Linked DNA regions of Lonchura striata. The protein of the gene in region 1 purifies or fractionates together with the protein of each later gene. This does not show direct contact. Links are inferred from orthologs where the notes say so. Each region holds a gene or a part of one and is shown on either strand. Other genes may lie near its edges.

The links.
Region 2: the proteins of RAN (region 1) and IPO9 purify together in Homo sapiens (affinity purification with mass spectrometry; 3 studies listed by BioGRID and IntAct, with this or other methods). This does not show direct contact. The link is inferred for Lonchura striata from reciprocal best matches to the Homo sapiens genes RAN and IPO9.
Region 3: the proteins of RAN (region 1) and NUP153 purify together in Homo sapiens (affinity purification with mass spectrometry; 5 studies listed by BioGRID and IntAct, counting the BioPlex papers as one, with this or other methods). This does not show direct contact. The link is inferred for Lonchura striata from reciprocal best matches to the Homo sapiens genes RAN and NUP153.
Region 4: the proteins of RAN (region 1) and AKIRIN2 purify together in Homo sapiens (affinity purification with mass spectrometry; 3 studies listed by BioGRID and IntAct, counting the BioPlex papers as one, with this or other methods). This does not show direct contact. The link is inferred for Lonchura striata from reciprocal best matches to the Homo sapiens genes RAN and AKIRIN2.

Annotation. Positions count from the first base shown.
Region 1 is NC_134620.1:14,955,518-14,963,314, reverse strand, and holds the start of RAN (GTP-binding nuclear protein Ran), read right to left. Parts: upstream 3,001-7,797; 5' UTR 2,879-3,000; intron 2,177-2,878; 5' UTR 2,171-2,176; coding exon 2,135-2,170; intron 1,294-2,134; coding exon 1,209-1,293; intron 1,116-1,208; coding exon 990-1,115; intron 42-989; coding exon 1-41. Other genes in the region: STX2 (syntaxin-2), read left to right, coding at 5,815-5,844. UniProt on the Homo sapiens protein: GTPase involved in nucleocytoplasmic transport, participating both to the import and the export from the nucleus of proteins and RNAs. Switches between a cytoplasmic GDP- and a nuclear GTP-bound state by nucleotide exchange and GTP hydrolysis.
Region 2 is NC_134632.1:386,254-394,188, forward strand, and holds the start of IPO9 (importin-9), read right to left. Parts: upstream 3,001-7,935; 5' UTR 2,987-3,000; coding exon 2,836-2,986; intron 1-2,835. UniProt on the Homo sapiens protein: Nuclear transport receptor that mediates nuclear import of proteins, such as histones, proteasome and actin. Serves as receptor for nuclear localization signals (NLS) in cargo substrates.
Region 3 is NC_134603.1:90,606,375-90,613,383, reverse strand, and holds the start of NUP153 (nuclear pore complex protein Nup153), read left to right. Parts: upstream 1-3,996; 5' UTR 3,997-4,034; coding exon 4,035-4,133; intron 4,134-7,009. UniProt on the Homo sapiens protein: Component of the nuclear pore complex (NPC), a complex required for the trafficking across the nuclear envelope. Functions as a scaffolding element in the nuclear phase of the NPC essential for normal nucleocytoplasmic transport of proteins and mRNAs.
Region 4 is NC_134605.1:78,763,472-78,771,184, forward strand, and holds the start of AKIRIN2 (akirin-2), read left to right. Parts: upstream 1-4,713; 5' UTR 4,714-5,145; coding exon 5,146-5,350; intron 5,351-7,713. UniProt on the Homo sapiens protein: Molecular adapter that acts as a bridge between a variety of multiprotein complexes, and which is involved in embryonic development, immunity, myogenesis and brain development.

The DNA.
Region 1 (7,797 bases):
AACTCTCGATGTTACATCAAACATGATGATGGCACACTGAGCTGCAAGAGAAGGAAAGTCAGGTTACACCAGGCACAGCCACTTGCTTACAACAAGGGATGGAGAAGAGGAACACAGAGATTCCCACATCAGGGTGAAGCATCTGCATGAACTCTTCCCTCTCGGCATCACCGCTGTGGCAGCTGCTGTTCTGTTAACCAGCTCTGTGCAGGAGCCCACAGAACCAGCCCAGGGCCCTATCACCTCACACCTGTGCTGCCCCATAGCAGAGCAGCTCCTCTTGCTAGCTCAGCTCTATCCCTGAGCAACGTGGCATTGCACCATGAGACTATACAGACTATGGAAGCCAGTGTGGATGTACCCAAATGCCTGGCAGAATCAGTTTAATTCATCTCAGAACTGGTTTAATTCATCTCAGACATGCCAATAAGGCTTAAAGGTAGGCTGAGAGCCTGTGGTCCACATCTCAGGATACCCGTGTCCAGAAGGGCTTCTCAAGGACCTCAAGAATACTTTACGAAAGTAAGATACACTAAAGATGTGCAGGGTGAGTGAAGAAGCAGGGGACAGGTATTTGCCAAGCAGAAAGAACACTGCACATTTTCAGAAAGACAGACTCTGGCATGAAGGTGTCCAACTGCATCATGGTATTGAAAATCTCAAGTTTCTGTGTTCCAAGGCCTTGCCTGAGCACAGCAATCCAGACAGAAATCTGCACTTACTGAAGCACACGTTGTCACCCCTTAACCACCGAGTGCTGCCAGTGCTATTGGTCATTCCATCAATACCAAAGCCCACAAAACACGCTGAAACACAACCTTACTGTGTTCCCACGTTGTCTGGCAAGGGACATTATTCTCTCCACGTAAGAGCTTGAGTTCTACGCCAGCTCATCACTGCAGCCACACTGACAGCTTGCAGCGCAGCCAGCATGAGCAGAAGGAAGGACTGAGCTGTAAGAGGTACAGAACTGTCCCCCCAGATCTTACCTTGGATATAGTAGCCATCACGCAGGCCACCAAACTTCTCCTGGCCAGCTGTGTCCCATACGTTAAATTTAATAGGGCCTCTGTTAGTATGGAACACCAGAGGATGAACTTCAACACCCAGTGTTGCTAGGGAAATAACAAAAAGCAGTGCATTTAGCAAGTCACAGATTGTATTTTCATTTGTAAGATACTGGAGCTCAAATGTTTCTTCAGACATACCTACATACTTCTTTTCAAATTCACCAGTCAAGTGACGCTTTACAAATGTTGTTTTACCAGTGCCACCATCACCAACCAGAACAAGCTGAGGACAGAAAAAGGAAGAGTCAGAGCAATGCATCTTGAGACACTTATCAGTCATTCCAGCACAGATACTACTCATTACTACAAAGAGCACAGCTCCTACAAGGTGCTGTAAACAAAGACAGAACTCCCCATGAAGCAGCTCCCTGTGCTGGGAACCAAATCTGTTAAGTCCACCCATCATGCTGTAACTCTGATCAGTCTTATCCAGCCCTTGTAGGCAAGGGCTGCACTGCAGAATATTTAGGGCTTTCAACCTGACTGTAACCAGATTCCAAGAGGAAATTATCAAAACATCCACTGGAGAAAACCTTTGCTACCTTAAAATTAAAGAACCCACCAACATTTGCACCATAAACTGAAACACACTAGTCAAGAACTGAAAGAAACACAAGTAACAACCTTCAAGAAAGAGTCTTCAGGACTTCTGGCTGTTAAGGTAACAAAAAGATAACCACCACCCCACCAGCCACTCAAAACACCAGAAAATTCCCTTCTGAAACACTTGCACCATTAGCACATGACAGAAAGCAAGCTACTCTAATTCACTCTGGGCAGCTTCAGTTCTTAAATTTAAAAATCATTCTGTAGGTAAAGATTCATTGAAAGCTATCAGACTGAATTACAGATAAAATAATGACACAAAAAAGAATTTAGAAAATAGTTTAATAGAGTCTTTTTGTGCGAGTTGTATTCAACACTTCAATAAATCGCCCCATTAAGGGAAGACCAGCAGTTCAAAACCAAACCCACCATCCACGTAGGCACTCGAGAGTGGTTTGTGTCACTTTTCTAGCGAAGGGAGAAAAAGCCCCGAAGGAAAGCGGGGCAGCGCGGCTTACCTTAAACTGCACTTGCGGCTCTCCCTGGGCGGCCATGCTGCTCTGCGGGGGAAATGGCAGCGTGAGCAATGGCAGCGTGAGCGGGCGAGCGCGGCGCGGCAGCGGCCCCGCCGGAAGGCGCCGCCCGCGTGCGGCGGAATGGCGGCGCGCCGCCGCCCGCCGGGCCCCGGCCCCGCTCCCGACCCGCGCCGGGCCCCCCGGCCCCGCTCCCGACCCGCTCCCGGCCCCCCGGCCCCGCTCCCGACTGCGCCGAGCCCCCCGAGCCGGCATCCCCCCGAGCCGGCATCGCCCCCGAGCCGGCACCCCCCCCGAGCCGGCATCCCCCCCGAGCCGGCATCGCCCCCGAGCCGGCATCGCCCCCGAGCCGGCATCCCCCCGAGCCGGCAGCCCGCCGCCGCTCGGGAGCCGCCGCCCGCCCTGCGGCGCTGCCGCCGCGGCCGGGCCTGCCCGCCGTCAGCCACCATGACAGAGCAGCGCCCCTGCCCCGGCCGGGCGGGCCGCGGGGGCCCCGCCGGCGGCCCTCGCACCGCCCCCTCCCCGCGCACGGCCGCGGCCCGGCGGCCCCGCTCGCGGGGAAAAGCCGCCACGCGCCCGGGCCCCGCGGCCGCGACGCTCCCTCAGGCACGGCCCGCCCGGCCCGGCCGCCAACGAGCCCGACCGCCGCCCCCGCTCTGCAGAGCGGCCGGGCGCGCCCCGATGGCGGCGGGAGCCGGGCCGGGCCGGGGGGCCGGGCCGGGCCCGTACCTCTGCCGAGACTCTCCGCTGCTCGCTCCGTGCGGGCGCAGGGAAAATGGCGGAAGCGCCGTTCAAATACCCGGACGGCGGCGGCGCGCGGCCGCGGGCGGGGCGGCGCCGCGCGTCACGTGGTGCGCGGCGCGCGGGAGGCGGCGGGAGGCGGGGCAGGGCACCGGGGAGAGCGGGTATGGCACCGGGGAGAGCGGGTATGGCACCGGGGACAGCGGGTATGGCACTGGGGAGAGCGGGTATGGCACCGGGGACAGAGGGTATGGCACCGGGGACAGCGGGTATGGCACCGGGTACAGAGGGTATGGCACCGGGGACAGCGGGTATGGCACCGGGGACAGCGGGTATGGCACCGGGCACAGCGGGTATGGGACCGGGTACAGAGGGTACGGCACCGGGGACAGAGGGTATGGCACCGGGGAGAGCGGGTATGGCACCGGGGAGAGCGGGTATGGCACCGGGTACAGCGGGTATGGCACCGGGGACAGCGGGTATGGCACCGGGGACAGAGGGTATGGCACCGGGGAGAGCGGGTATGGCACCGGGCACAGTGGGTATGGCACCGGGGAGAGCGGGTATGGCACCGGGTACAGCGGGTATGGCACCGGGGAGAGCGGGTATGGCACCGGGGAGAGCGGGTATGGCACCGGGGAGAGCGGGTATAGCACCGGGTACAGAGGGTATGGCACCGGGGACAGAGGGTATGGCAGCGGGGACAGAGGGTATGGCACCGGGGAGAGCGGGTATAGCACCGGGGAGAGCGGGTATGGCACCGGGGACAGAGGGTATGGCACCGGGTACAGAGGGTATGGCACCGGGGACAGCGGGTATGGCACCGGGGAGAGCGGGTATGGCACCGGGGACAGAGGGTATGGCACCGGGTACAGCGGGTATGGCACCGGGGAGAGCGGGTATGGCACCGGGGACAGAGGGTATGGCACCGGGTACAGCGGGTATGGCACCGGGGAGAGCGGGTATGGCACCGGGGACAGAGGGTATGGCACCGGGTACAGAGGGTATGGCACTGGGGAGAGCGGGTATGGCACCGGGGACAGCGGGTATGGCACCGGGTACAGAGGGTATGGCACCGGGTACAGAGGGTATGGCACCGGGGAGAGCGGGTATGGCACCGGGGACAGAGGGTATGGCACCGGGGAGAGCGGGTATAGCACCGGGGAGAGCGGGTATGGCGCCGGGGAGAGCGGGTGTGGCACCGGGGACAGAGGGTATGGCACCGGGGAGAGCGGGTATGGCACTGGGTACACTGGGCACAGCCCTGAGCACGGCACCGGCCACACCGGACATGGCACCGGACACAGCGGGCACAGCACCAGGCACGACCACAGGCACAGCACCGGGCACGGCACCGGGCACAGTAGGTACGGCACTGGACATGGCACCGGACAGAGCAGGCACAGCACCGGGCACAGCGGGCACAACAGCGGGCACAGCCCCGTGAGGCAGGCTGGCCGGAACGCCCGTGATTTTCCATCCTTCACACAAACTGACCTGCACTCACTGCTGTGCAGTCCTGAAAGCAAAACTTGCTTTGGAAGCCTTGCATTTAGAATAGCTCTCCAAGATCTCAAAACTCTGCCCAAACGTCAGTGAAAACACTGAGTTTCAAAGAGTGTAAAACTTTTGCATGTGTCTATAGGTACCAAGTTCACGGGTTTGCTCTGATTTTTAATGCCTCTGGTATTTTTTTAATCCAGTATACTTCAATTACTTTTATCTTCTTTGTTGCTATCCCCATAATCTAGAATAAATAAATGATACGTTTTTACATATATCTCAATGAATGGAATTGACAAGGAAAGTATTTCATGGCAGCTGATATATATAAATGTAGTTTATTTCTTGTTAACTTCCTCTGACATAGACACAAAAAATACACAAAGCTTTACAAGACTGGCTGGCCTGTGCTGTAATTTTTGCTTATTTGACAGTGTAATGCCAATCCAAACGCTGTGTGAGATTTCCTTGGGAAAATCACTCAATTTGCCTTCCCTTTTTGAGATGAGTTGGGTTTGTGTGGGGTTTTTTTGCATTTTTGCTGAACGCCTCTAGGTGTCAGGATTATTTTTTCAGAATATGCAATTCATCTTTTATTTTTCTCAGCACAATGCTATCCTGGTAAAGCCCTTGCCACACGGGCCGTGCCGCACCATCCGTGTCTCACCGCCCGCCCGCTGTGCCCGTTCCATCGTGCCCGTTCCGCCGTGCCCGCTCCGCGGGGCCGGACTGCCTGCCGTGCCCATTCCCCACTCTCCGTTCCCGTTCCTCCGTGCCCGCTCCCCGCTCTGTGTTCCCCGTTCCTCCGTGCCCGCTCCCCGCTCTGTGTTCCCCGTTCCTCCGTGCCCGCTCCCCGCTCTGTGTTCCCCGTTCCTCCGTGCCCGCTCCCCGCTCTGAGTTCCCCGTTCCTCCGTGCCCGTTCCCCGCTCTGAGTTCCCCGTTCCTCCGTGCCCGCTCCCCGTGCCCGCTCCCCGCTCTGAGTTCCCCGTTCCTCCGTGCCCGCTCCCCGGTCTGGGTTCCCCGTTCCTCCGTGCCCGCTCCCCGGTCTGGGTTCCCCGTTCCTCCGTGCCCGTTCCCCGCTCTGAGTTCCCCGTTTCTCCGTTCCCGTTCCCGCTCCCCGCTCTCTGTGCCGTTCCTCCGTGCCCGCTCCCCGTGCCCGCTCCCCGCTCTGTGTTCCCCGTTCCTCCGTGCCCGTTCCCCGCTCTGAGTTCCCCGTTCCTCCGTGCCCGCTCCCCGCTCCCGCCCGCCGCGCCCCACGTCACGCCGGCGCCGGGCGGGGCGGCGGGCCGGGCCGAGCGTGCGCGGTCGGTCTGTCGGTCGGCGGGCGGCCCGGTCGGTCTGTCGGTCGGTCCGTCGGTGGGTCGGTCGGCGGGCGGCCCGCGGGAGCAGCGCGGAGCGCGGCGGGCAGCGGCGCCGCGGGGATGAAGGACCGGCTGGCCGACCTGGCGGAGGTGCGGGGCGGGCGGGAGCGGGCGGGGCGGGACGGGGCGGGCACGGGCACCGCCGGGAGGGCCCCGCCGCCGCCGGGGCTCCTCGGACCGCCGGGGCTCCCGGGACCGCCGGGGCTCGGGGCGCGGTGCCGCCCTCCGCGGTGCCGCCAGCGCGCCGCGCTCCGCTTCCCGTGGCCGGGGTAACGCCGTGCCCGGAGCTGCCCGGAACTGCCCGGTAACGCCGTGCCCGGAGCTCCCCGGTAACGCCGTGCCCGGAGCTCCCGGTAGCGCCGTGCCCGGAGCCCCCGGTAGCGCCGTGCCCGGAGCTGCCCGGAGCTCCCGGTAGCGCCGTGCCCGGAGCTGCCCGGAACTGCCCGGTAACGCCGTGCCCGGAGCTCCCGGTAACGCCGTGCCCGGAGCTCCCGGTAGCGCCGTGCCCGGAGCTGCCCGGAACTGCCCGGTAGCGCCGTGCCCGGAGCTCCCGGTAGCGCCGTGCCCGGAGCCCCCGGTAACGCCGTGCCCGGAGTCCCCGGTAGCGCCGTGCCCGGAGCCCCCGGTAACGCCGTGCCCGGAGCCCCCGGTAGCGCCGTGCCCGGAGCCCCCCGGTAACGCCGTGCCCGGAGCTCCCGGTAGCGCCGTGCCCGGAGCTCCCGGTAGCGCCGTGCCCGGAGTCCCCCGGTAACGCCGTGCCCGGAGCCCCCGGTAACGCCGTGCCCGGAGCCCCCGGTAACGCCGTGCCCGGAGCTCCCCGGTAACGCCGTGCCCGGAGCCCCCGGTAACGCCGTGCCCGGAGCTCCCCGGTAACGCCGTGCCCGGAGCCCCCGGTAACGCCGTGCCCGGAGCTCCCGGTAGCGCCGTGCCCGGAGCTCCCTGTAACGCCGTGCCCGGAGCTCCCGGTAACGCCGTGCCCGGAGCCCCCGGTAACGCCGTGCCCGGAGCTCCCGGTAGCGCCGTGCCGCGCCCCGGGCGGCGGCGGGCGGCTCTGTCCGCTCCCGGCCGTGCCGCGGCAGGAAAGCGCCTGCCAGCCGCGTTCTCCGCGTGTTTACAAAATGGTGCTGCCGCTGGTTGTGGGCGCTTTTCCTTCCCCGCACTCCTGCCTTGGAAATATCCTGAGAAAGAAGGGAGAGTCCGGGCACAGGCACCATCGGTCTGTCTGCAACAGGATACGGCTTGGGTAAAAGAAAAGGATACTTGAGATTTTTTGGTTTGGGATTGTTTTTGGTTTTTTCCTGAAAAGAAATGGAAGTGGAGAACACACAGGAGTTCCTGGGACGGTTCCAGCACTCCGTGTATGTGTAGAAGTTGGGCTGTGTGCGGCTGCATTCAGCTCTGGGGCTCTTTCGTCTTCTGGATCATAAAATACATTTTGGAAGCTCCGTCTCTAGTGATGGAATTACCAGTCTCTCTGTCTTCCTCTCTGAAAGAATGAATAGGCATTGAAGAAGTTTTAGGATTATTAAATTACAGTTTCTGTACCAGGAATGATGTTTTGGAGCAGTGCCAACAAACCAGTGTCCTTTCTTTCAGGCACAGTTATTTCCTTTCCCTGTTTCTAAACATGTCCAGGCTGTGGGAACGCGTGCCAGATTTCGGTGCTGGTGCACACCAACCAGACAGAGGAAGCAACCAGTGGTGATCCAGTTGGCTTTATAGTTCTATACCCGCAGACTTAATCCTGTTCTCTGTTTCTGTAAATGGAAGAAACCGATTCCACACCCTGCCACACCCCCCACTGACAGGGTTAAAAGTGTTTAATGCAGCTGAACAGAGGCATTTTTAAGCCAGCTTTAGTATTTGACATCTGAAAACATTATTGCAGTGGGCTGCTTTTTAAATATGTATCAGCCAGTATTGCTGAAGTGCTCATGTGTTCATCAATATTGTTTTTACTGCCTGTAGAATTAATAAATAGCTTAGAAACTTAAAAATTTTCTTCTAATGAAGAAAATATTTAAACATGAAATGCAAGTAAAA
Region 2 (7,935 bases), on another chromosome or scaffold:
CCCAGGCCAGCCCATGACCCTCTGCTGAACTCACTCCCCTTTGCTGCTGTGTCTCATCCCAGGGGGGTGGGAGCAAAACTGCCCAGGTATTCCAGGTGTGGTCTAATGAGCGCTGACTAGAGAGGGCTGATCACTGCCTCTGATCCTGCTCCCACAGCCCGGCACGCAGGTGGCCTCCAGGGCACGCCGCTGGCCCTGCCAGCTCACCAGGCACTGGTATTTCCTGGCCCTTTGTCCCAAGGCTGCTCCCCAGCCAGGCAGTACCTGACCCACATCCCAGCAGTCCTGTCCCAGGAGCAGAACGTGCTGTCTGTCCTTGCTGAATTCCTCTGGCTCTGTTCCTGTAGGGCCCTTTGGAGAGCAGCCCTGCCTTCAGACATCAACTGCCTCCCCTCCAGTTTGGTGTCACCTGCAAGCTGCTTGTGTAGGTTCTGCAGCCTCCTCCAGGTCAGATGCTGCACCAGACCTCAGAGTCCTGGCCCTACAACCACAGAGAATTATCGAGGACTTCAGCAGATTTGTAAAAGCATGGCAAAATAGAAGGGTAGATGACTCCATTCCTCTTACCATAACATCCACTAAAAGCAATTCTGCAATCCTGGGCTCTCAAAGGTACCTCAGGGATATCCATTGCCTAGAACCCTCAGAAAACATTCTTCTCTGGAAATCTGTCACCGAGTCTGTGAAAAGGTTGACTCTTTGGGGAGAAGCTGCCACTGAAGTAGGCAGTGAAGGCCAAGGCTCCACAGTCAATGAACCTCCCAGCACTTCCAGACTTGTGCTGCCTGCAATGCCATTGAACCACTCCACGAAACTCCAAGAGCTGTGGGGGTGACACAGAATTCCTGGTAATGCCAGGAAGAGCTAAGCTGAGTGTGGTACAAGCACTTTAAGGGAATGCACAAGAACAAAGATTTTATCAAACAACTGCCTGACTTCACTCCCAGAGCAGCAAAATCACAACACCGCTCTTGACCCTGTCTCACCCTTGCACCTTCCCTCTTTGTACCAAAACTGCCTCTGGTAACACTTCTGAGCTGAAGTTCAGGAGCAGAAAGAGTTCACAAAACACATTCAGAATAGTGCAATCAGACTAAAGGTTAAGGCAAAATTTCCAGGAGAGTCTACAAATAGCTAACCCATCAAGCTGCCAGGCCACAAGCAAAATGTCAGGACTGGGGTTGCAGTGCTACACTCTCCAGCTCCTGTCACAGCAGATCATCTGCAAATCTTTCTGTGGCTTCTACAAACTCCAGTGATTTTGGCTGAAGCAAAATAAAATGTTAGCATTAACAGATTTTTAAATGTATCTTCTACACAGAAAAAGCAGCCAGTGCATGAACTAACCTAGTGTCACCATGAAAAGGCCAAAGGACTAATGGAATGATTAGCAACACTGCTTGAACCTGGGGTGTTCACTCATTTAGAATCTCTTTCCAAAGCCACAGGCTAGTTGCCATCCAGCTCCACTGTCCTGCTTGTCCTCAGCTTTCCATCACAGACAGTGGAGCCTTGTCACTGGAGTTTCACACGGGATGAGGGCACAACTACATCCTGGCCACCCTCAACCTCAAACACACCGTGCACAGATGACAACCTGCAGAACATGGGCACACACCAGGACACACATCTGGAGGTGAAGATCCCTGCAGGAGCTGGCCAGGGTCTACAGATGGAAGGGCTCTCCATGACCCTCATGTAACCCACCCTCAGACTCCAGCTGAGGTGGACCAAGGTACCCAGAGCAACAGCCCTGCTGCTTCACCACCATGGCCCCTCCACGTCCTACCCTGGTGAGCTCAGAGCGCTCCTTGGTGCCCAGTTCTCACACACCACCCCAGAGCACGGGCAGAGCCCTCCTGCCCCCTGCCCAGAGCAGTGCCCCAAACACGCCCCGCTGCAGGCAGGGGCCAGCCCGTCCCTCTGGCACCGAGCCCTGCAGGGGCTGCCTCGGAGAGAGACAAGCAGCTACTGCAGCGGGTCTGTGTGGATGGTGATGAGGGGTCTGCAGCGGGTCTGTGTGGATGGTGATGAGGGGTCTGCAGCGGGTCTGTGTGGATGGTGATGAGGGGTCTGGAGCGGGTCTGTGTGGATGGTGATGAGGGGTCTGGAGCGGGTCTGTGTGGATGGTGATGAGGGGTCTGGAGCGGGTCTGTGTGGATGGTGATGAGGGGTCTGGAGCGGGTCTCTGTGGATGGTGATGAGGGGTCTGCAGCGGGTCTGTGTGGATGGTGATGAGGGGTCTGCAGCGGGTCTCTGTGGATGGTGATGAGGGGTCTGCAGCATCTCTCTGGTGAGTGGAGACTGTGGGAGCTGGGCTTGTTTAGTCTAGAGAAGACTGAGAGGGAAATCTCAGCAATCCATACAAGCACCTCCACGGCGGGAGCCAAGAGGCTGGTGCCAGACTCTTCTCAGCAGTTCCCAGCGACAGGACAAGGAGCAATGGCCATAAACTAAACCACAAGAAGTTCCACCTCAACATGAGGAAGAACTTTACGTTCAGGGAGGCAGAGCGCTGGAACATCTCCCCAGGGAGGTCGCTGTCTGCAGACATTCCAAACCCACCGGGACGTGTCCCTGTGTCACCTGCTCCAGGTGACCCTGCCTGGGCCCGAACGATCTCCAAAGGTCCCTTTCAGCCCCAAATATTCTGTGATTCCGTGAGAGACGTCGGGCACACAGGGCAGCCGGCAGGAAATCAGCCACAGCCGCCGGCTCGAGAGACGAGGCTGAAGTTTCTGCCGAGGCCAAGGAGCAGTCGTGAGGCGAAGAACCGGGAACCGCTGTGGCGGCGGCCTGGGGTCCCCCCATCCCCTCAGCGCGGCCCTCACTCACCCTCCGTCACCTCCAGCACCTTCACCTGCTCCTCAGCAGCGGCTCGCACGGCCTGCACCGGGCACAGGATCCCCGTCAGCGTCTCCACCAGCGCCTCCTTCAGCCCCTGCGCCACCGGCCCGGCCCCGGGCCCGCCGCCGCCTCCCGCCATCGCCGCCCCTCCGCGCGCCGCGCGCGCCAAACGCACCGCGCGGGGGCGCGCCCGCGCCGCGCACCGCGCCCCCTGGCGGCGCGGCGGACCGCGCCACGCCGGGCAGGGAGCGGCTCGGACGGGATGGGAATGGAATGGGATGAGAATGGGACAGATGGGAATGGAATGGGATGAGAATGGGACAGATGGGAGTGGGACAGATGGGAATGGGACGGATGGGAATGGGATGGAATGGAATGGGAATGGGACAGATGGGAATGGGACAGATGAGAATGGGACAGATGGGAATGGGACGGGATGGGAATGGGACAGATGGGAATGGGACAGATGGGAATGGAATGGGATGGGAATGGGACGGGATGGGAATGGGACAGATGGGAATGGAATGGGATGGGAATGGGACAGATGGGAGTGGGACAGATGGGAATGGGACGGATGGGAATGGAATGGGATGGGAATGGGACAGATGGGAGTGGGACAGATGGAAATGGGACGGGATGGGAATGGGACGGGATGGGAATGGGGCGGGATAGGAATGGGAATGGGACGGGATGGGAATGGGACGGGCTGGGAATGGGAATGGGACAGATGGGAATGGGACGGGATGGGAATGGGACGGGCTGGGAATGGGACAGATGGGAATGGGACGGGATGGGAATGGGAATGGGACGGGATGGGAATGGGATGGGCTGGGAATGGGACAGATGGGAATGGGACGGGATGGGAATGGGACAGGCTGGGAATGGGAATGGGACGGGATGGGAATGGGACGGGCTGGGAATGGGACAGATGGGAATGGGACGGGCTGGGAATGGGACGGGATGGGAATGCCGGAGAACGGCGGGACGGGATGGGAATGGGACGGGCTGGGAATGGGACGGGATGGGAATGGGACGGGCTGGGAATGGGACGGGATGGGAATGCCGGAGCCTGGCGGGACGGGCCGTGCTCCTCTGCACCAACCTCCTGCTTGCGGGTCCTGGGGGTCAGCAGAGCCCAGCGTGGCCCCGCGCAGGGCCGGGGCCGAGCGGGGCTGGGCGCGATCAGCGCCCTCAAAGGCTCCGACCCAGCTCCAGGAGGGCCCGAACGAAGGGACTGGGCAGGAGAACTCACGGCGTGGAAAGCGACGGACCTGGGTCAGGCTGGGGAAACCTGCCCAGAAAATGTAACCCCCAGGCACGACCTGGACACCCCGTGGGCCGGACCGGACAGCAGGGTCAATGTGCTGGAGCCAGGACTGCTGATTGATTGATTGAGTGAGTGATTGAGTGATTGATTGAGTGATTTCTCTCTTTCTCTCCCTCTCTTTAATTCTCTCCTTTCTCTCCTCTCTCTCTTCCCATTCCTCCCACCCCCCTATCCAAACCCCACTGCCATGAGCTTATAGAGTAGATCAGGGATTAACAGAACAATTTCTATGACAAGTGTGTGATTTACTAATAAATCTTTGACTTTTTGTGGACCCTGTGACTTTTTTCCTTTTCCACCAGGAGTGTCTAGGGATCTTGGGTGCTCCTTCCCCTGTAAGACTGGGATGCCACAGTGGGAGCAGGGGACTGAGGCAGTGACCAGGGTCCTGTGGAGCACCTGGAGCCCCCAGAGAGTCCAGTGAACCCCAGAGCAGGGACCAGTCACAGGGAGGAAAACCCCCACTTCTTTTCCTACACATAGGTGTGGTGAACACTCGGTGTGAGCCTTGAGGAGCCCACCTGTGGTTTTTGCAGCTGTTTATTTAGAAAGTATAAGTAATTTTACAAAGCATTACAAGGATTAAAAAGCAGTATTGATCCATACAAAATGGGCTTCTTACCTGGGGGTGGTGATGGAGTTGTGTTTTGGGATGGGGATAGCAGTTCCCATACACTGTAGGAAAAATACTGTGACATTTTCTGTATCCAGTAATGATTTGGTCACTAAGTGCCCAGAAGTATGACAGTGATTTGTCTACAGACACAGTCCAGTGCCAGGGATGAGCCTGGCAGCCATGTTCAGAGAATCACAGAATCACTCCGATTGGAAAAGCCCTCCAGGATCATCCTTGTCAGCAGCCCAGAGCACTGAGTGCCGTGTCCAGTCATCCCTTGGACACCTCCAGGCACAGGGACTCCAACACAATCCCCTCGCAATGTTTAATCACCCACTCTGTTCAAGCTGCTGCACTTCTGCCCTTAGACCACCTCCATCCTGGGGGGTCACCTCTTTGCACTGAGAGCCCACCAACATTCCAGTCCATGGTGAGGGATGGCTCTCCTTGCCCACACCACCTCCTGTTTGAAAGCTCTGGAGTTTATCAAGTGAGCACCTGGCAGCAGCAGTATTTGGGGTTTATTTTTCTTCTTGTACTCTCTAATAACAAATGTCCAAGGCCAGGCTGGACAGGGCTTGGGGCCACCTGGAATAATGGAAGGTGTCCCTTCCAAAAGCCTGGGGTGGAACAAGATGGGCTTTGAGGTCCCGTCCAACCTCTGCCAGTTTGGGATTCTGCAATTCCACACATGTAACTTTTGCAACCTGAATTGAAGACTTTCTGTAAAAGCAGAAGGAGCAACTTGAGATGGTACACAAACCCAAGCCTGGGTTCAGCTCCCTGCAGGCTCAGTGAGTGTCCTGCTGCCCCCCATCCTGCAGCCCCACAGCTCCAGCCCTTCCCCTGTGCCAGCAGATGGGCTGGATCAGCACCAGAACCTGCAGGGCAGAACACACCTGCCCACACCAGCCCCTCTGGAGCCCCCTCCTCACTCTCCCTGCCTGGTCTCCAGGCCTGGGCAGCTGCTGCAAGGGCAGCTTCACATCAGCAAAGAGAGCAGAGGGGACAAAGTGCCTCTGGAAGCTCCTCGTGCTCACCTGAGCCACAGCCTGGGCAGCTGTGGTGAAAGCAACCAATTCCACTTACATAAACTTCCCAAGAATGAAGTTAGATTTCCTTCTGCAGAAGTTGGGCTGGTGGACCCCATCTTTCCCCCCAAATAAACAGGAGCAGGGGCTCAGGTCATGCCCAGCACTGCCCATACCCCAGTCAAGCCCTGCTCTTCCTGGCAGAGCACAGACTGCACAGAGAGGCCACTCCCAACCAGAGGAATGGGCACAACCACGACAGGCTGGGACTTCTGTAGCAAAAGAAGGGCACATTTCAGCCATGCTGCTCAACCCAGACTGGGCCCTGCCCTGAGTGGCACAACCAGGGAGCTCCTGCCATTCCTCTGTCATTGCTGGCCCCAGAGAGGTCTCTGCAAGAGGAAATGTGATTTTTCTCTCTTGTTCTTCCCAATCCAAAATGCTGCTTCTGCTAGAGGAATAAATACCTATTTTTATGTGTAACTTCTGCAAGCTCAGGATCATCACGCATTTCTGCACTGTCCCAGGATTTCAACTTAATAGGAAACGTGAGCTGCTGCTACACCAAAATCAGTGAGGCAGGAGGTCCAGATCTCTTCTCCCAGGAAACAAGGGATACGGCAAGAAGCAGCAGCCTCGAGCTGTTCCAGAGGAGGTTCAGGTTGGATATGAGGGAAAATTTCTTCCCAGTAGGGTGGTCAGGCCATGGCACAGCTGCCCAGAGCAGTGGTGGAGTCACCACCCCTGGGAGCGTTCAAAAGACGTGTGGATGTGGCACTTGGGGACACAGGTTAGTGGTGAACACGGCAGAGCTTGGGTGACTGTTGGACTCCATGGTCTTGGGGGGCTCTTCCAACCCTGTTGAGTCTGTGATTCTCTGATTCCATCACACCAGGCTATCACTGGCTCTCAGCACCAGCATCAGACCTGACACGTCTCTGCAAGTATCTGTTAGGAAGGGACAAAATGATCACAATTGCAAGTTTCCTCTGCCTTACAAACACACTGCAAAAAAAGAGGATGAGGTTTAGGGAGAGGAGGGGTATCCCAGAGCAATGCCAGTCTAGCCTGAGCTCCTTTTAGCTGAAGTGATGCATAACCACTCTGAATGCACCGACCCATTCTTCTGGATTTGTAGAAACTCCATTTATTTGAATCTTCCAGGCTTTTCCAGGAAAATTCCCACCTGTTTGGGAGCACAGGCTCTTCACAGGTTTCTGCAGGGATCCCTCATGCAAAGTCAGCACTCAGAGCTTGCTGGTCAAATACTTCTGCCTCCAAGCCCAACCCCAGCTCTGTCACCCCTTCTTCTGACTTTTAGGAGGACAGGTTCCTCACCACAAAAAGACATTCTTGGTATGCAAAGGTATTTTAGGATGAACTCCCTGTTTCTGCCTTTGCTGTTTCAGCTCAAAGCACAGCTCTGAGCTCCCCCCGCAGACCCACGCCAAGGAAGACCCCACAGGAAGTGGCATGGGACTACTGGAACCAGCAAAAAACCCCAAGAAATGGCAGGGCAGCACATGGAGCAGGGAAAGGATCAGCCTGGGTTAGATGGTGCTAGCCCAGCCTGTCCCCTCCTTAAAATTCAACTCCAGACAGTAACAAAAACATGAAAAGCCAAAATCCCAACAGACACCAAAGCAGCCCAAACACTTGACCCACACTCTCCAATATTGGTTTTAACTTCAATAAAGCCTGGATGATGGAGAGACTTTTCAAGTGAATTCCATGTGCTTTAGACAGGGGCTGCTGGTTTTACTTTTGCATGTTTAAAAGCCCAGCTCTTAGAGATTTCAAGGAACAAGCACACATAAATATATACACATATATACATAAAATCTGGCCCAGTATTATGATTAAACAAACAGCTAAATTCCTTTAAAACACTACTGTAAGCAGTTTTTCAGAACTTTAAAAACTGAGATGCCTAAGGAGCCTTTGTGAAGCTGCACCTCTGAATTTAGGGTACAATCACTATTTCTTTTCAACCACCTTGTAGCAATCCTTCCTCTAAGCAAGTGGAATTTTGGACCTGGCAGTCTATCACATGATCACATGGGCTTTTCTTTTTGTCATAAAAGACAAAAAATTGTTCCTTTTACTCAAGACCT
Region 3 (7,009 bases), on another chromosome or scaffold:
AGATGCAGGCCCCTTGAATTTTGATGTGAGGATGTTAAACTTTCAAAATCATGCTGGATTTGCTGTCACTTTAGTTGCAGTGTACAGTTGGGGTGCTTGAGCTTGGTAGTACAAACCAGTTGCTAGGCAAAGGATTTTGTATCCAACAAGCACTGTCATCACAAGCTGGAAGATTATAACCCAGGCACAGACCTGGAAGTGTCCTGCTTTGAAGTGCATATCCTGCTTTGCATAGCGTTACCTAACATCATACTTTACCTGTAGCAAGTAATTTGTGGAAACCTTTCATTGTGTTATTAGATAGTAAGGGTGCATGTTGGCTTGGTAGAAATACTATAGAGTATCCACTGATTTTTTTTTTTTTTTTTTTTTTTTGTTAGCTTTTGGGAGTTTGATCCATATGTGAATTATATAACAAGGAGCCCATGTAGTTGTGTGATTTCACTTTAATCAGCACTGTATTACCACAGCACATAAACATCAGAGTCTGTAGTCACAATATTTATGCAGAGTTTACATCTTAGCAAGGTCTCCACACTCTGCATTATAGACTATTTTCAGACATGCATCTTCTGTTCTGGGCTGTAAAGTACCTGTATAGTGAAAATACTGCTTATGAAATGTAGTGAAGGAGGTTGTTTGAGCCATTAATTGTGCAAACCTGAGAAATGTTGGGGAATGTATTTTCTTTAGTCAGCACAGAAGAAAAGTGAGTTGAAGAAGGGAAGTCTGCTGGTTGCAGCCTGTGTGAGGCTGTTTTAAATAGCTCTCTGATTTTGTTTTCTGTCTCCTGAGCCTTTCTAGTCTATACTGCTTACCAGTTAGGAGTGCATATCAAGATACTGTGTGCAGCATATTCTTTACTGTAAATGCACACCGAAAAAACTTTGGTATTGGTGTAAGCATGAATTAGGGAAAAAGTGAATGCATCAGATCTGCTGGCATTCATTGCTGAGACTTTTAACTGGGGAAACTTTAAGCACTGGTCCAGCTACTGCCTCACTTAGCAAGCCTACACAAAGACCTGAACATGTCCATGATACAGATGCCTGCTCTCAGTTCTGCAAAGAGCTAATTGCAGTAGAAACATTTAAAAAAAAGTATTGGGACCAATGTTTTCAACACTACACTATTTCACTTTGTTTCTTTTTTTTGTCTGTTTTGCCCAGCTGGAAAGTTGTGGAGTTTTTTAAGTCTGATGAAAGGGTTTTTTTTAAGAATATCAAGTATTGGTTTTATAAACTCTTCATTGTACCTAGCTGTGATAGATAGTGCCTTTACCTAAAACCCACTTAATTCTTGAAGAAGAGTAATGTTTTTGTTTTCTACTATTCTGAACAGAAAAGCTTTAGTACCATGGTTTGAGGGGCTAATGATCCTGTAGTCAGTGAACAGGGAGGAAAAAACAGGCTAAAAACCAGTGAAGACTGAAAAGTGTTCAAAAAGGTTAAATGGTACTTAAGCCGTGAATGTTTCTTTTTGCAGGGATGCTCTTGGACCAACAGCTTCTTTCTAGCACTACCTCAAAGTAACTTGCAGATATAACTCACAGGGAAGATTGATCAAATGGTGATGATCACTATCGTTCTGCTGGAGATATATATATATATATATATATGCCTTTTGTTTTGTCTCATTTTAATGACATTTATTTAACTTCAGTGACTCATGTCAATAGACATTGACTACATCAACAAGTATTTCTGAGTCATGAGTTTCTTTAAAGGTATGTCACCATATGGAAATTGTTCTAAATAGGTAAAATAAGTAAATAAAGCAGCACTTGAATTTATAGAGCAAATGTCTAGTGTAGCTGCATTTGACATGTATATGGAAGAGAAAATCGTGTTTACAGCTTACCTTAATATTCTTAGCATACATGAAGAGGGAAGCTCGTTTTAAATTTGTTCAGCTCCTACCTGACCAGCACAAGAATGATTTTAGTCAGTTCCCCACGCAGGTACCATTTTAGAAGCCAGCATTGTTACTAATGAATGTATGTTACCAACGTGCAGTTTCCATCCCCTCTGTAAATCTCGCTCTTCCCATAATGGAAACACATTATGCTAGCCTTCCTTCCCCTTCTCTTAAGCTGAAAGCTAGCATGGTAATTGGTTCCTGGACAAAAAGAATTGCAAATCCAGGCAAAAATACTATTTTTTTCCTATTTTGATAATTATACTGATGTAGATCTAGAAATGCCCATTGTAGAAGCAGACCATCATCCTAAAATTAGTCAGCAGCTGTAGCACATCAGCCGTTTACGCAAAATGAGGTGGTTCTTGCAGGTGACTTCAAACAGGCATGTTCCAGGATAGGGATCGTCTATCACTGCAGGTCATCCCCCTGCATGTAAAACTGTATTCTTAATTGTGAGAGTAAGAGTGTAGTTTTATGAGGAGAAATATCTGGAAAATAATTCCACTATGCTAGGTATTGGATAATAGTTATTTCCTATAGTTAATGAAAATGGGACAGAGAAATTGAGCCAAGTCATGTAAGAGAGCTAGGAGGACCCCAGTGAAGTTCAAAAAAAACCAGTATGAAGCAGAGATGAGGCAACACAAAATTTCCTAGTACCATTTCTTACAGCTGTTCCTCTGCAGCTGCTGCCAGCTTACCTTTCTGTATGCCTTCAGAATCACCCTTGTTTGAGCTCCCCATAATTTCCAAAACCTTTCTTCAGGTGCGTGCTGGTTTGCACTGCTCAGCTCCATCCTTCCCACGGCAAGTTGATGCTAAAAATAAAGAGTGAAACCATAGTGTTTTCTCAACTTTACTTTCAGTAAGATAAAAATCCCACATTTTTATGTATTTAAACTTTGTAATAGGAATGCACTCTTCCTCATATTTTGAGGAAGTAAAAGCCACGGCGAAGCCTTTTCCCCTACCTCCTTTCCATAGGCCACCACTTAGTGATGAAAAACCTGCACCTGCTGTTTTCTCTTGCTTACACAAACTCGATCGCTAGTGGCAATCTGGGGGAGCACTGTGGGCTTCCCCGTGCAGTTTTTCCTGGTGCCGTTTTTCCTGGTGCCGTTTTTCCTGCTTCATTGTCCATGCTGTTCTTCGTCAGGGACAAGGGAAACATCCCCCTCACGCGTGGGTAAGTTGTGTACCTGGGGGCAGATCGTCAGAAGGACAGAGGCAGGCTCTGCTCGGTGGTGCCAGTCTCCCTTCACTGAAGAAAGTCAGGAACTGTCTGGATGCAATCCTGTGCCATGTGCTTTGGGACGACACTGCTTGAGCGGGAAGGTTGGATCAGATGACTCACTGTGCTCTTTTTCAACCTGAGTCATTCTGTGAAACGCTGCGGGAAGAGGGGAGGTGGCGGCGGAGTCACCCGCGGCGGGACCCCGGCACGAACCTCCGCTCGTGTCCCCTCAAGGCGTCCCTGTGCTGCGCCCGCGAGCAGGCACGTCCCCCGCCACGTCCTTGGCGGTCGCGGCAGATCCCAGCGAGCGCTTTTCCCGCGCAGCCGGCCCGGCCCGGCCCGGCCCCTCCCGCTTCCCTCGCAGCGGGGGCGGTGCGCGTGCGCGTGCGCGGCCGGGCCGTCGGTCCGGCGCCGCTTGTGTGACGCGCCCGCGCGGGCTGGTGACGCGCGCGCGGCCCGGGGCGGCCGCCGTGTGGTTGGTCGGCAGGGCAGGGGGGTGCGGCGGCGGCTCGGGCCGCGGGCGGGCGGACAGCGCGCGGGGCGCCGCCGCCGGGCGGGAGAGCGGAGCTGGGAGCGGCGGGCGCAGGGATCGGGAGGGAACGCGGGGAAAGGGGAGACGCGCGGGAGGGAGAGGCGCGCGAGAGCGCGCGCGCGCGCGGGTAGGGGCGGGGCGGAGGCCGCGGAGGAGCCCCCCGCGCACGCACCAGAGGCCGCGCGCGGCGCGTGGCGGGCGGGAGCGGCGCGGGGGGAGCGAGGCCCGGCCGGGCGCGTCCCCGCGGGGACGGTGACAGCGGCAGCGCTGCCGGGCCGCGGCGGAGCGCAGCGGCCGCACCTGGGCGAGGAGGACGAGGCCGCCGGCGGCGGCGGGCCGGATCGCATCATGGCCTCGGGTGGCGGCGGCGGCGGCGGCGGCAAGATCCGGACCCGACGGCACCACCTGGGAGCCGCCAAGCCGCCCTACGCGAGGGGCAAGCAGCAGGTGAGGCGGCGGGTCAGCCCCGTGAACCCCTTCCCTTCCCACCCCGCTTCTCCCCCGGCGCTCCCGTCCGCGGCGGCAGGAGGCGCCCCGGAGGCCCGACCCGGCAGAGCCGCCCCTTTGCTCCGCCGCCCTCCCCCCCGCTCTCCACGCAGCCCCACGTGCGCGGCTTCGGGCCGGGGTTTCCCGGTGGAGCGGCCCGTGGGGAGGCAGGAGGGAAGCGTTTCCCGCCGGGACCATGGGCATTGTGGGATTTCCGGGCGCTCGCCCCGCTCCGGCGCCGCCGGGCTGCGGGGGGATTCTCGCCTCCCCTTTGTCTTCTGCGTGTCCCCCGCTAGGCAGGAGCAAAGGCGGGAGGAGGAGGAGGCGGCTGGGCAGGCGTAGGTGCGCATTCCCGCTCCTCGCGGTTGGAGCGGGCTGGCTCCCGCTCCACGGGATGCTCGCTCGTTTTGTCTCTGGGCTGCCCGGTTAAATCCTAATTTAATTGATCTTAACTGGATTATCAAGTTAGAGTTAGTCTTCAGATTTAAGTGCATCGTTTCTAATATTTGCTTTTCCTGACAAATTCCAGGTTGCGAATGAGGCTGTGAGGGTGCTGGGTAGTTGGGCATCTCTTCCATTGTGGTTTCTTTTTCTCTCTCTTTTTTTTTTTTAATAGGATGCTGCCTACAGAACCCTTAGGTTTTTTTTTTTAGTGTCTTGCCTGTCCCTAAACGTGGTGGTGCAGTGCAAGCACAATGTAATTCATGAGGCATTTGTTCTTCTTTGTGTTGTGGGACAGAATAGATGGATAACAGAAAAAAAGCAGTTTGTAAATTGTGTTACAAAGATCCTATGCCATTTAGAATGGCTGCAGAGAGTAGAAGCAAAGATCCTTCCTAACTCCTGTTTGTCAGAGAATTTCAAGATGCCTGGAGATGGTGCTCTGGAAATGCCTTTCACGTGTATTTGTGAACCTGAAATTGACTGTAAAACCAAGCGTTATTAAATCGGTAATATAAGCCAGGAGATTAAATATTATAGGCAAAATTGAGGGCATGTTATGCATAAATTGTTGCTCAATTAGTTCTTATTTGGGAAGTACGATTCTTAATCCTTTGTATAACACTGATCAGCAGTGTTGTCCTTGTAAAGTGGGCAGGGTGACTCTTCATCCAAAGAATCACTGCACTTGCTGAGCAAATGTTGAAAGCTCTTACGTGAACAACAGTAATGTTGAAATTTCAATATGCTGCACATGGTGATACTGTGTAGATAACTAATAAAACAGATGAATTAAAAATAATTAGGTGAGATGATTTTCTGATTGTTCTATTGTCTGTTACCTCTGCGGGTTTTCTAGTAGGTTTATTTAAACAATGGGGCAAAGCAAACATGTGCCTGGGGGGATATCTGTGAGATGCAGCCCAGAGCATGGATGCTGCAAGTTGAATACATCAATCAAATTAACTAGTATATTGGGGAAGAAATGGTAAATAGTCAAACAGATAGGTGTCAGATGTGCATTTGTCATAAGTTATGGCTTTTTAACCCTATGTAGCTTGCTAACCTGCGTTACATAAAAAGATGAGCTCTGGGTAGATAGCTGACTTGAACTGGAATTAATTGATAATTTTATTTTCAATAAAACATCCACTCTGCAGAAAGTATTCTGTGGTTTGGTGTTGTCTCTCAGTAATGAGTTTGAGAAGACATAGAAGTGCTCAGTGCAGACTGGACATGATCTCCTGCTCCCCTAACTTATCAATAAGGGAGCTCATAGAAGTACTGTATTAGAACTGTTCTAAGTGCTTTAGATCAAGACTGCAGTCTCTTATCACCAAGCTCTGAAGGTGCCTAAGCACTGAATGCCATATTGCTAAAATCTTTACAGTTCTTAGGATATCTGATTCTTTTCCACTTGTATGATAGATGAGTAGTAGCATGATGCCAGGCTTATAACAGGCCTGTTGTATGTTTTTCTTAAGTTGTTATGCTTTCTTGATGTTGTTGTTTTGCCATAGTCTCCCAGGGAGCTTGGTCACATGTGAATTCTCCAGTGGTCCCTAGCATGTTGCAGTCAGTCTTCCATTAAGTGCAGCAATGGCTTTAGAAGATATTTGGAAGAGGAGATGATGCTGCTTTTCAAAGATGATTAGCTAAAGCATTTGTTCAAAATGTGGTAGACCCTGTTTTAGATTTTTTTTTTTTTTTTTTTTTTTTTTTTACTTAGAGGCATCAACCTACATCTTCCACTTTCTGGGCAAATATCCCAGTTGCCAAGCTGTATGCTGTCTTTGAGTTCTTCTGACTGAAACTGTGTTATTATCCAGAAAAAGAATGTGTGATTCATTGAGCCAGGAAGAGGATGTATAAGAAGATGTTACCTTCCAAGAGTGGAGACATACAGCCTGTGATCCATGATTTCAGAAGTTATTTGTTTTATATATTCTTGGAATAAACATGGAAAGTGCAGAATTTCCTGCCCTTTTCTCCCCAGGTGCCTGATAGAGCCATATTGCGTTATATTTGCATGTGTTTTTGTTTTTTTTAAACTGTGGAGGTTTTTTTTGAATCAATCTCAGATAGGAGAGATGAACAGATGCTGCTTGGAGGATGTGACTTGCAGCTTTTATTTTCTCTTGGAAGATGGAGCTATGAGTAGATTTCCCCCAGTAGTGAAGGAACTTAACCACAGTATTTTCCTTTCTGGGCTACCATCCTGCCTTATAAAAAATGCACTGTCAGTGGTTGTATTATTAAACCAAGAGACAAAAAGTAATAGCACAATGAGGTAAGGACAGTATCCACTAACCATGAAGATTTGAGGTGGGGGAATCACAGAACAAAAAGAGCCTTTTTGTATCTCTTTGGTGGGTGTTCCTGGAGTAGAATTGTGG
Region 4 (7,713 bases), on another chromosome or scaffold:
ATAGTACTGATCCATGCATGCTTTGCTAGTTGATGCTTTCCTGAAATCTTTGAGGTAATTGCAGTAGTCAGAGCTGCAAAATTTTATTCAGTGCTTCCTAATTATTCTATATCCAGGTCTGTTAGCACAATTCATGCATATACACCAGTGAGTTTAGTAATTTTCTTTTTATAGCTTCAATATATTATTCTGAATATAGGTGAACTGACTCAAATGGGTTATTCCTGCTTCATATCCTTTCAAGTTGTCACATTTTAACTCCAGCCAGGAACTAAGAGCACCACACAGCCACTCCCCTGGTGGGATGGGGGAGAATTGAAAAGGTAAAAGTGAGAAAACTTATAAGAGTTTTCTGAGATAAAGACACTTTAATAGGGAAAGCAAAAGCTGTGCATGCAAGCAATGCAAAGCAGGAAGTCATTCACCGCTTTCCGTGGGCAGGCAGGTGTTCAGACATCCCCAGGAAAGCAGAGCCCCATCACACCCAACAGTGACTTGGAAATTCAAATAGCACAACTATGAATTTCTAGCCCCCCCCCACTTCTTCCCCAGCTTTATATGCATATGATGCCATATGATGTGCAATGCCCCTTTCACCAGTTGGGGTCAGCTGTCCTGGCTGTGTCCTCTCCCAGCCTCCTCATTGGTGGGATAAGAAGCAGAAAAGACCTTGATGCTATGTGAGCACTGCCCAGCAAAAATGAAAATATCCTGTACTATCAACACTGTTTTGGTCAAAAATCCAAAACTTATCCCACATCAGCTACTGAAAAGAAAATCAATTCCATCCCAGCCAAAACCAGCACACCTGTAAAATGTTTCATTCTGCATCGACTTTGTTGTTGTCATTTTATATTACAAAACTTCCTGGGTCATTCTTAGCAGTCTCATGTCACTGAAAACATCAATACCACAGAAACCCTTTTTGTAAAAATACTAAGCCTTACCTAAAGCACACCTAACCAGCAACTAAAGATTGGGGTTTACTTTTACCCATACTTCTGCCACTGGAACAGTGTTCTGGAAACTCATTCCTCTGGCACTAATAAATCCTCCTCTTATTTCCAGTCTGGGTGAGGTAACTGACAGTTCCTGTATCAACATAGTTTTCATCACTAAAATAGATCTCCTGAATTTATTTTTTCCTTGTGCTTTTAGTGAAAAATAATAGAATTCAACAATTAGTACAGATAATAACATTTAAATAACCACACTTTACTACCCTGGGGCTAATTTCCCCCTTTTATATTATTCTAATTGGCTCAGTTATCTTTTCCTATACAGATTCTGGTTTTAATTAATCTTTTCTGAATATGTGGAAATATATACAGTATTTTAGAGGAAATAGGTGTTTTGAATCTCTTTTATATTGGGAAATATACCTCTGTACTTCTGTTGGCAATACATTAGTAGCTCAGACCTAAGAAAGAAATTTGTCCTATTGGAAGTGAGTGCATATTACAGGTTCAGGTCATTATTTTTGGTACAGTTTATGAGCATAAGTCAGCATCTAAAGAAGCAGAGCTGAACTTCACTGACCTCTGCCTTTCATTCCTGTTCCCATGTATCCTTTCCCTTTGGCCAGCACTGTCTGTGTTCCTATATAGCAAATCAGACTGAGAAATTTATTCCAGTTTTCTTTCAGCTGTTTTTCCCACCTTACAATTCCTGTACTAACCTCCATTTTTTTCAATTTAACTAATCCCTTCTCACTTGGCACTATACAAACACTTCACTGACATAATGGCAGATAACCACCAGTGCATTTTGTCCACAAAATCTGCAACCACAGGATGTGCCTAATACATAAGAAGCTTTTGGTATCCATGTCCAAATTCAAGTGGCATGACACCACTTAAAGTGAATTTTGTTCACTTGTGGTGAAATGAACAAACCCTAGAAACTGTTCAGCCAATCGGTGGTCCCATGTTGGCAAGCATGACTGGTAATGAGAAATGAGCCACAGGTGAAGTGAGAATAATATGATTAGATGGTGTAGAAGAAAAGATAGGGCCAGTGATCCTGCATCAAATGAATAGGATGTCTCAAGAAAAAGGAATATGAAGCAAAGTCAAGATAGTATAGAAACAGAATGAGAGGAAGACGAAAAAAAAAAAAAAAAAGGAAGAAAAAGAAAAATGGAGCAATGGAAGGAAGGGGAGGAAGAAGAAAAGAGACTGTACAAAGCCTAATATTTGGTCCACTATATTTCTATCACCATCCCAAAGCAATCCACTGAAAGGGTTACTTTCCCACCTCAATCAGAGCTGTACAGAGGTCCAAATATTGTCCTGAGTCAGGACTTGCCTTTTTAACAGGTGTCATGCTCAAAGTACATATTCAATAAAATCCAGAACAACACCAGTTATGAATCAGTTCTCCCACTCCCAGTATTAATAAAATTTGTGGGTACTATTTATTTTAAAAATATTTTTATAATATATAATTTTAAAGGCACCCCATGCAGCACATAATGGGGCACTGCAAATTGGTTATATAATAAGTAAGTAGAAGAAAGAACAATATAAACAGTGGTTTGCAGCCTTGACCCTATGGTGTTTCCTGCCACAATGAAAGTAAAAACACATGTTCCCTGACAACCATCAAGCACTTTGTCACTGCTGTTGGACATTTCACTGCCTTAGGGCTTGTCTACATGCAAAGCTATGTTGGTTTGTCTGGGTTTAATTTGCTGCAAAGGGCTATGTGAATTCTTATTTTGACCTAAATCAGACTTGCTTCAGTTTAGTTCAACAAATTAAAGGTCAGATAAAAGCCAAATAACTCCGTTGATTAGAACAATCACTGTTCTAATCAATTGCTTACAATTATAGTGCTGCCTGTGCTGGCAAAAGCTGATTTTCTAGTACCTTATCTTGATGAAGTTTCACCTGATTCCTCAGACTGTCTTAATTGACTTAAATTGTGCCTGAGTGGTCCTTAGGAACTAGTGCATACATGGTTAATGTCACCAAATTTTTGCTTCTGCTGCTGAATGCAGAATATATATCTAAAAATAATTTCAGTGGGGAAGTACAGGTTACTCTGAAACATAACATTTTTTTTTTTCCACTACCACACCCACACACAGGCACTTCTCAGCACACAAATGATGGCAGAAGCAAGGCACAGAGCACTCCAAACTAAACAGGTACATCATACACACACTGAGAGACACTTGGGGCTCCCTTAATTCAAAGCCTGCAATAGCAATTTTGCCTTAGTCTTGCTTGGTTAAGTGCTTGGTAAGAGTATTTAACACCGGTGCCCAAACACAGGGAAAGCTATATGCTTAGGGAAATGTAATGGAGATTAAGAATTAAATTAATGGAAAACCTGCCAGCATTATTCCAAAGAAGAGTATCCACAGAAGTAGTTATACCAGTACACTAATAGTAGGACAATTGTAATACTGTAATAACATCAGGACGTTTCCTGAATCTTGCTGCAAAGAAGCAGAACTTGTCTTAGTTTTAGAAAAGCTTGTCACCATCCTTATTTCAAAGGAAACACTTCAAGTACTTCCTCTTTGGAGGAACAACTCACAGCAGAGGATTCATTCTGCAATTTTCAAGTATTAATTTTAGGACAAGGCTTGCACCAACATTGTCATAAGCTATCTGTCTCAGAAAACAAATAATTTGTTGAGAAGGAAGGCTCTGCTAGGTCACCCCATCAGCTGAAACCTCAGCTACCCCAAGAGCAGCACAACCACAGTGCCAGCACAATCAGATTGTGACTGGGTGCCGCTATGGCTTAATTAACAATATATGCCAAACACCAAACATGTACAGCAAATCCTGCTTCCAAAGGATGGTAAGGTCTGTGGGGATTTTTTATGCTATTAGAGAAAGTCTAGCTTACACTTCAGAACACAATCAAAAAACACCAAAGTGTTAAAACTTTATGACAGCATATTTATAATTTTGTCTTTCAAAGACAACATGTCTTCATGTTTATGGTTAAATTAACAATATTAGATAATTATTATAAAACCTAAAAGTTACATGTATTTGGGGGGGTTATCAGTCTCTGTTAACTTTCCCACTGCGGTGACCTGTAACACAGTTTGTTTCAATCAGGAAGCTGCACAGGAAAGAGCTGTACTCTTCCCAGCAGCAGCTTCATAGTTCTTTGAACCTCTCCCCTCACAACCCTCCTTAAGCAAGAATGTGCTTTATGCAACTGCAAGGAAACCACTGGGTTACGCCGTGACACAGATCCCGACGTCGTGAGGCCTTTCCATGCGTGTCCTTAGCTGTCACCTCGGACTCCCGCACCCTCCCTGCTCTACCCTCACCATGGAGGCCACTAAACGCACTTTGCCCCCGATTTCACGTTCAGACAAGAGCCACGCGGACGTACATCCGCCGCCCGGCCCGCTCGACACCTGCGCTGTCAGGAGGCAGGGCAGGACAGGAGCATCGCCCCTTTTGTGTCCCCAGGTTCCGAGGGGCCCTGCCGGCCCTTCCCGAGATCCCACCGCGTCCCCATCCACACCCCAGCCCGCACCCTCCCAGGGGGGATTTAAACCAGAACCCGGAAGCCTACCCTGCCGGCGCGGTGCACGCCGGGAGCTGTAGTCCCAGCTCCCCAGAGTCCATCCTGTCTTTGAGTGGCGTGGGCCAGGACGGGAAAACCACGAGTCCCGTGAGCCTCTGCGGCGAGGGGGGTTGGCGTTTGAACCGGCGGCGTTGTTGTTGACGCCATATTGCTGGTGCGGGGGTTACGGCCGGGAGCGCCATCGCCGCCGCCATCGCCGCCGCCTGGGCCCTGCCATCGCCATCGCGCCGCATCGGCCTCCCCGCACCGCGCACCTGGGAGCGGCACCGCGTCCCTCGGCACTCCTCGTGTCCCGCCACCGGCCGCGGGCGGAATTTGTCCCGGCCGGGCAGGGCGGAGCGGGCGAGGAGAGCGGAGATCCAGCCGGACTGAACCGGGGTTGCTGCTGCCGCTGCCGGGGCGCTCCCTAGAGAGAGGCCGGCGGGGAGGCGGTGGAGGCGGCCCTGACGCAGCCGCCCCCTCCTTTCCCTTCCCTCCCCCCCAGCCCACTCCAGACAACGGGGAGGACGCCTCTGGGCAGGGCCGGCTGCTGCTGTCTCCACCGCTGCCCCTCGCTCCGAGCCCCCTTGGCCGCTCCGCGCCATGGCTTGCGGCGCCACTTTGAAAAGGACTCTGGATTTCGACCCGCTGCTGAGCCCGGCGTCACCGAAGCGAAGGCGATGTGCGCCATTGTCAGCCCCGGCCTCAGCCGCCTCCTCCTCCTTCGCCGCCGCTGCCTCCTCCCCGCAGAAATACCTGCGCATGGAGCCCTCGCCCTTCGGAGAGGTGTCGTCCCGGCTCACCACAGGTGAGGGACGCGGCGCTCCCCCCGGGGGCAGCTCGGCGGGGAGGGGGCCGGGAAGGCGGCCGGGAAGCGGGCAGGAGGAAGAGGGGGTTGGGTGGGTCTGGCGTCCCCCTCCAGCCATTTTCTGCCGGGCTGTGCGGCTGGCAGCGGCCGGGGCGATCCCTGCTCGGCTTGGCACCGAGAGACACAATAGAAATGGCCGTTTGCAGCAGGAGAGGAGGGGGGAGGAGGAGGAGGGACGGGGAGGAAGAAGGGGGGCCGGGTTGAGCCGATGCGGGCGGGTGGCCATAGGAAAGGGGTCGGTGAAGGCGGGGGGGTGAGATGAGGCTGGAGAAAGGGACCCGAGCGGCGTGGGGGATGGGAGTGCTGCTGGGGGGAAGCTCGATCTTAGGAAAGGAGGAGGCCGGTTTTTTTTTTTTTTGGTTTTTTTTTTTTTTTTCCTCCTCGTACCACGGGTGCTTAGATATGGCAAGGAGAGCCGCAGGGGCGAGTGGAGCTGCGGAAACGCTGGGGGCGGCAGGGGAGCGGGGTGCGACCGAGGTGGGGCTGGGGTCGGCAGTCGGCGGGGCCCGATCGATCCCTTCCTCGCAGCCATTATCGGTGGGTCGAGGCGGCCGCACCTCCTCCCGCTGCTCAGACATCGGGGGAGGGCGAGGGGGGCAGGGCGGGGAGGCCGGCCTGTCATCCATCACCCGCAGAACGCCAGTGGAAAAAGGCAAAAGCGAATAAAACAAAGGGGTAATCCCACTTCCCAGCTCCTTAATACGGGCTATCGTCCCGGGTAACCCATCCTGTGGTATCCTTAAAAGTTCCGTAGGAAAACCGAGCGTTAAAAGCGGTTGTGTGCAAGGGTGAGAGTTGCCTTTAGGGCAGATAAAATGGAATCGGGCGGTCTCCTGCTCTCGTTCGGGATACGCGGCGCAAGAACGAAACCCTTTTACATTCTTAAGGTGCGAGAGATGAGTCAACCGGCCGCCCCAAAAGCTCGAGGTCTGCTTGTGTACTGGTTGTCAAAAATCAACCGAGTTCTTTTTAGCAGCGAATAGGGAGAGAAGAAAGGGACGAATCTTGGTCGGGCACAAAAGATTGATTGGCCCGTGCCATGCTTAGTCCGGTGGGCAGCTTCCAGCAATGCACTCGGGGACGGTGCGGCTCGCGGCCATGAGCGGCTGTAGCGCCGAGGTATGGATGTACCCGTGTCCTTTGTGTGCAGGGGGAAAAAAAAGCCCTCTGCAGTTGTTGCAGCAGAATTCCTTCCGCTGTTCTGTTTGGTACTCCCTTTTATAACACAAGTTGGCTCCAGGGTACCAAGCACTAAGTTTGAATGTTCAAATTGCCGTTTACACGTAGGACAATGCCTTGTTTCAATATTCTTAGTTCGGAAAATGGTACCGTAGAATACACTTTTTTAGAGCTTTTAATTAAATAGTGAAAAATTGCTATGGAGGAAATATAGAGGGCATACAGAGTAAACTTGGCATCAATGCCTTGATATTTTTTTGAACCTCTAGGAAAGGATCTTGAATGAGTCAGCGGTCTGGGATGAGAGTTGTGATGGATGGCACTCCCTGCTACAGCGAGGCATTGCATGTACTTTGAAATAGATATTTAAAATCAGACCTAATTTAATTCTTTTAGAGGATAAGATTCTTTGCATGGTTTCTTTGGGGTTTGGAGAGCTTAGGTTATGAATATTTAATACAAGTATTGTCTGGCCAGTAAATATGTGTTGTTGAAAGGAGGCAAATCAGTAAAATTTTCAGAAGAGACAACCTACAGCAGTATTTGAGGTAATACCTAAGCTTCTACTCTAGCCATTCTGAAGGGCTTAAAAACTGAAATTGAGCAAATATAGGCCTCTTTGTCTCCTGAGAAAATCAGAGGTGCAGGTGGTAATCCATGTGAAAAGGTGATTTGTGTACAGACAAGGGTGTATTTTATGTATAAAAAATGTGTGTAATATAATGAAAAGTGAGACAGTAAATCAAAATGTCTCGTACAGCGCTTGAATACTCTTAAGCAAGACGTGAAGCATTTATAAGTTGTGCACGTTTACATGGGTTTTGCTTACAAGCTCCCTCTGTGGTTTCCGTTACAGAAAAAAAAAAAATCTTTATACCGTGCTGGTATAAATGCATCTGTTAATCAGCTTGCTTAGCTTTAAATTTCAGTTGAATTTGGGGATACTATAATATTGTATATATTTAATTTTGACCCTCACTGAGCAAAATAGAGCTCATAATTTTAGAGAGGCCTGTTGAAAGGTTGTGTGTGATTCATCTAATTTTGTAAATTTACCTGTGAACTAATAGTTTGCATTTTTCCTGGTAGCCCCTTGGAAGAATCATATGGTTTATTCTAGAGCT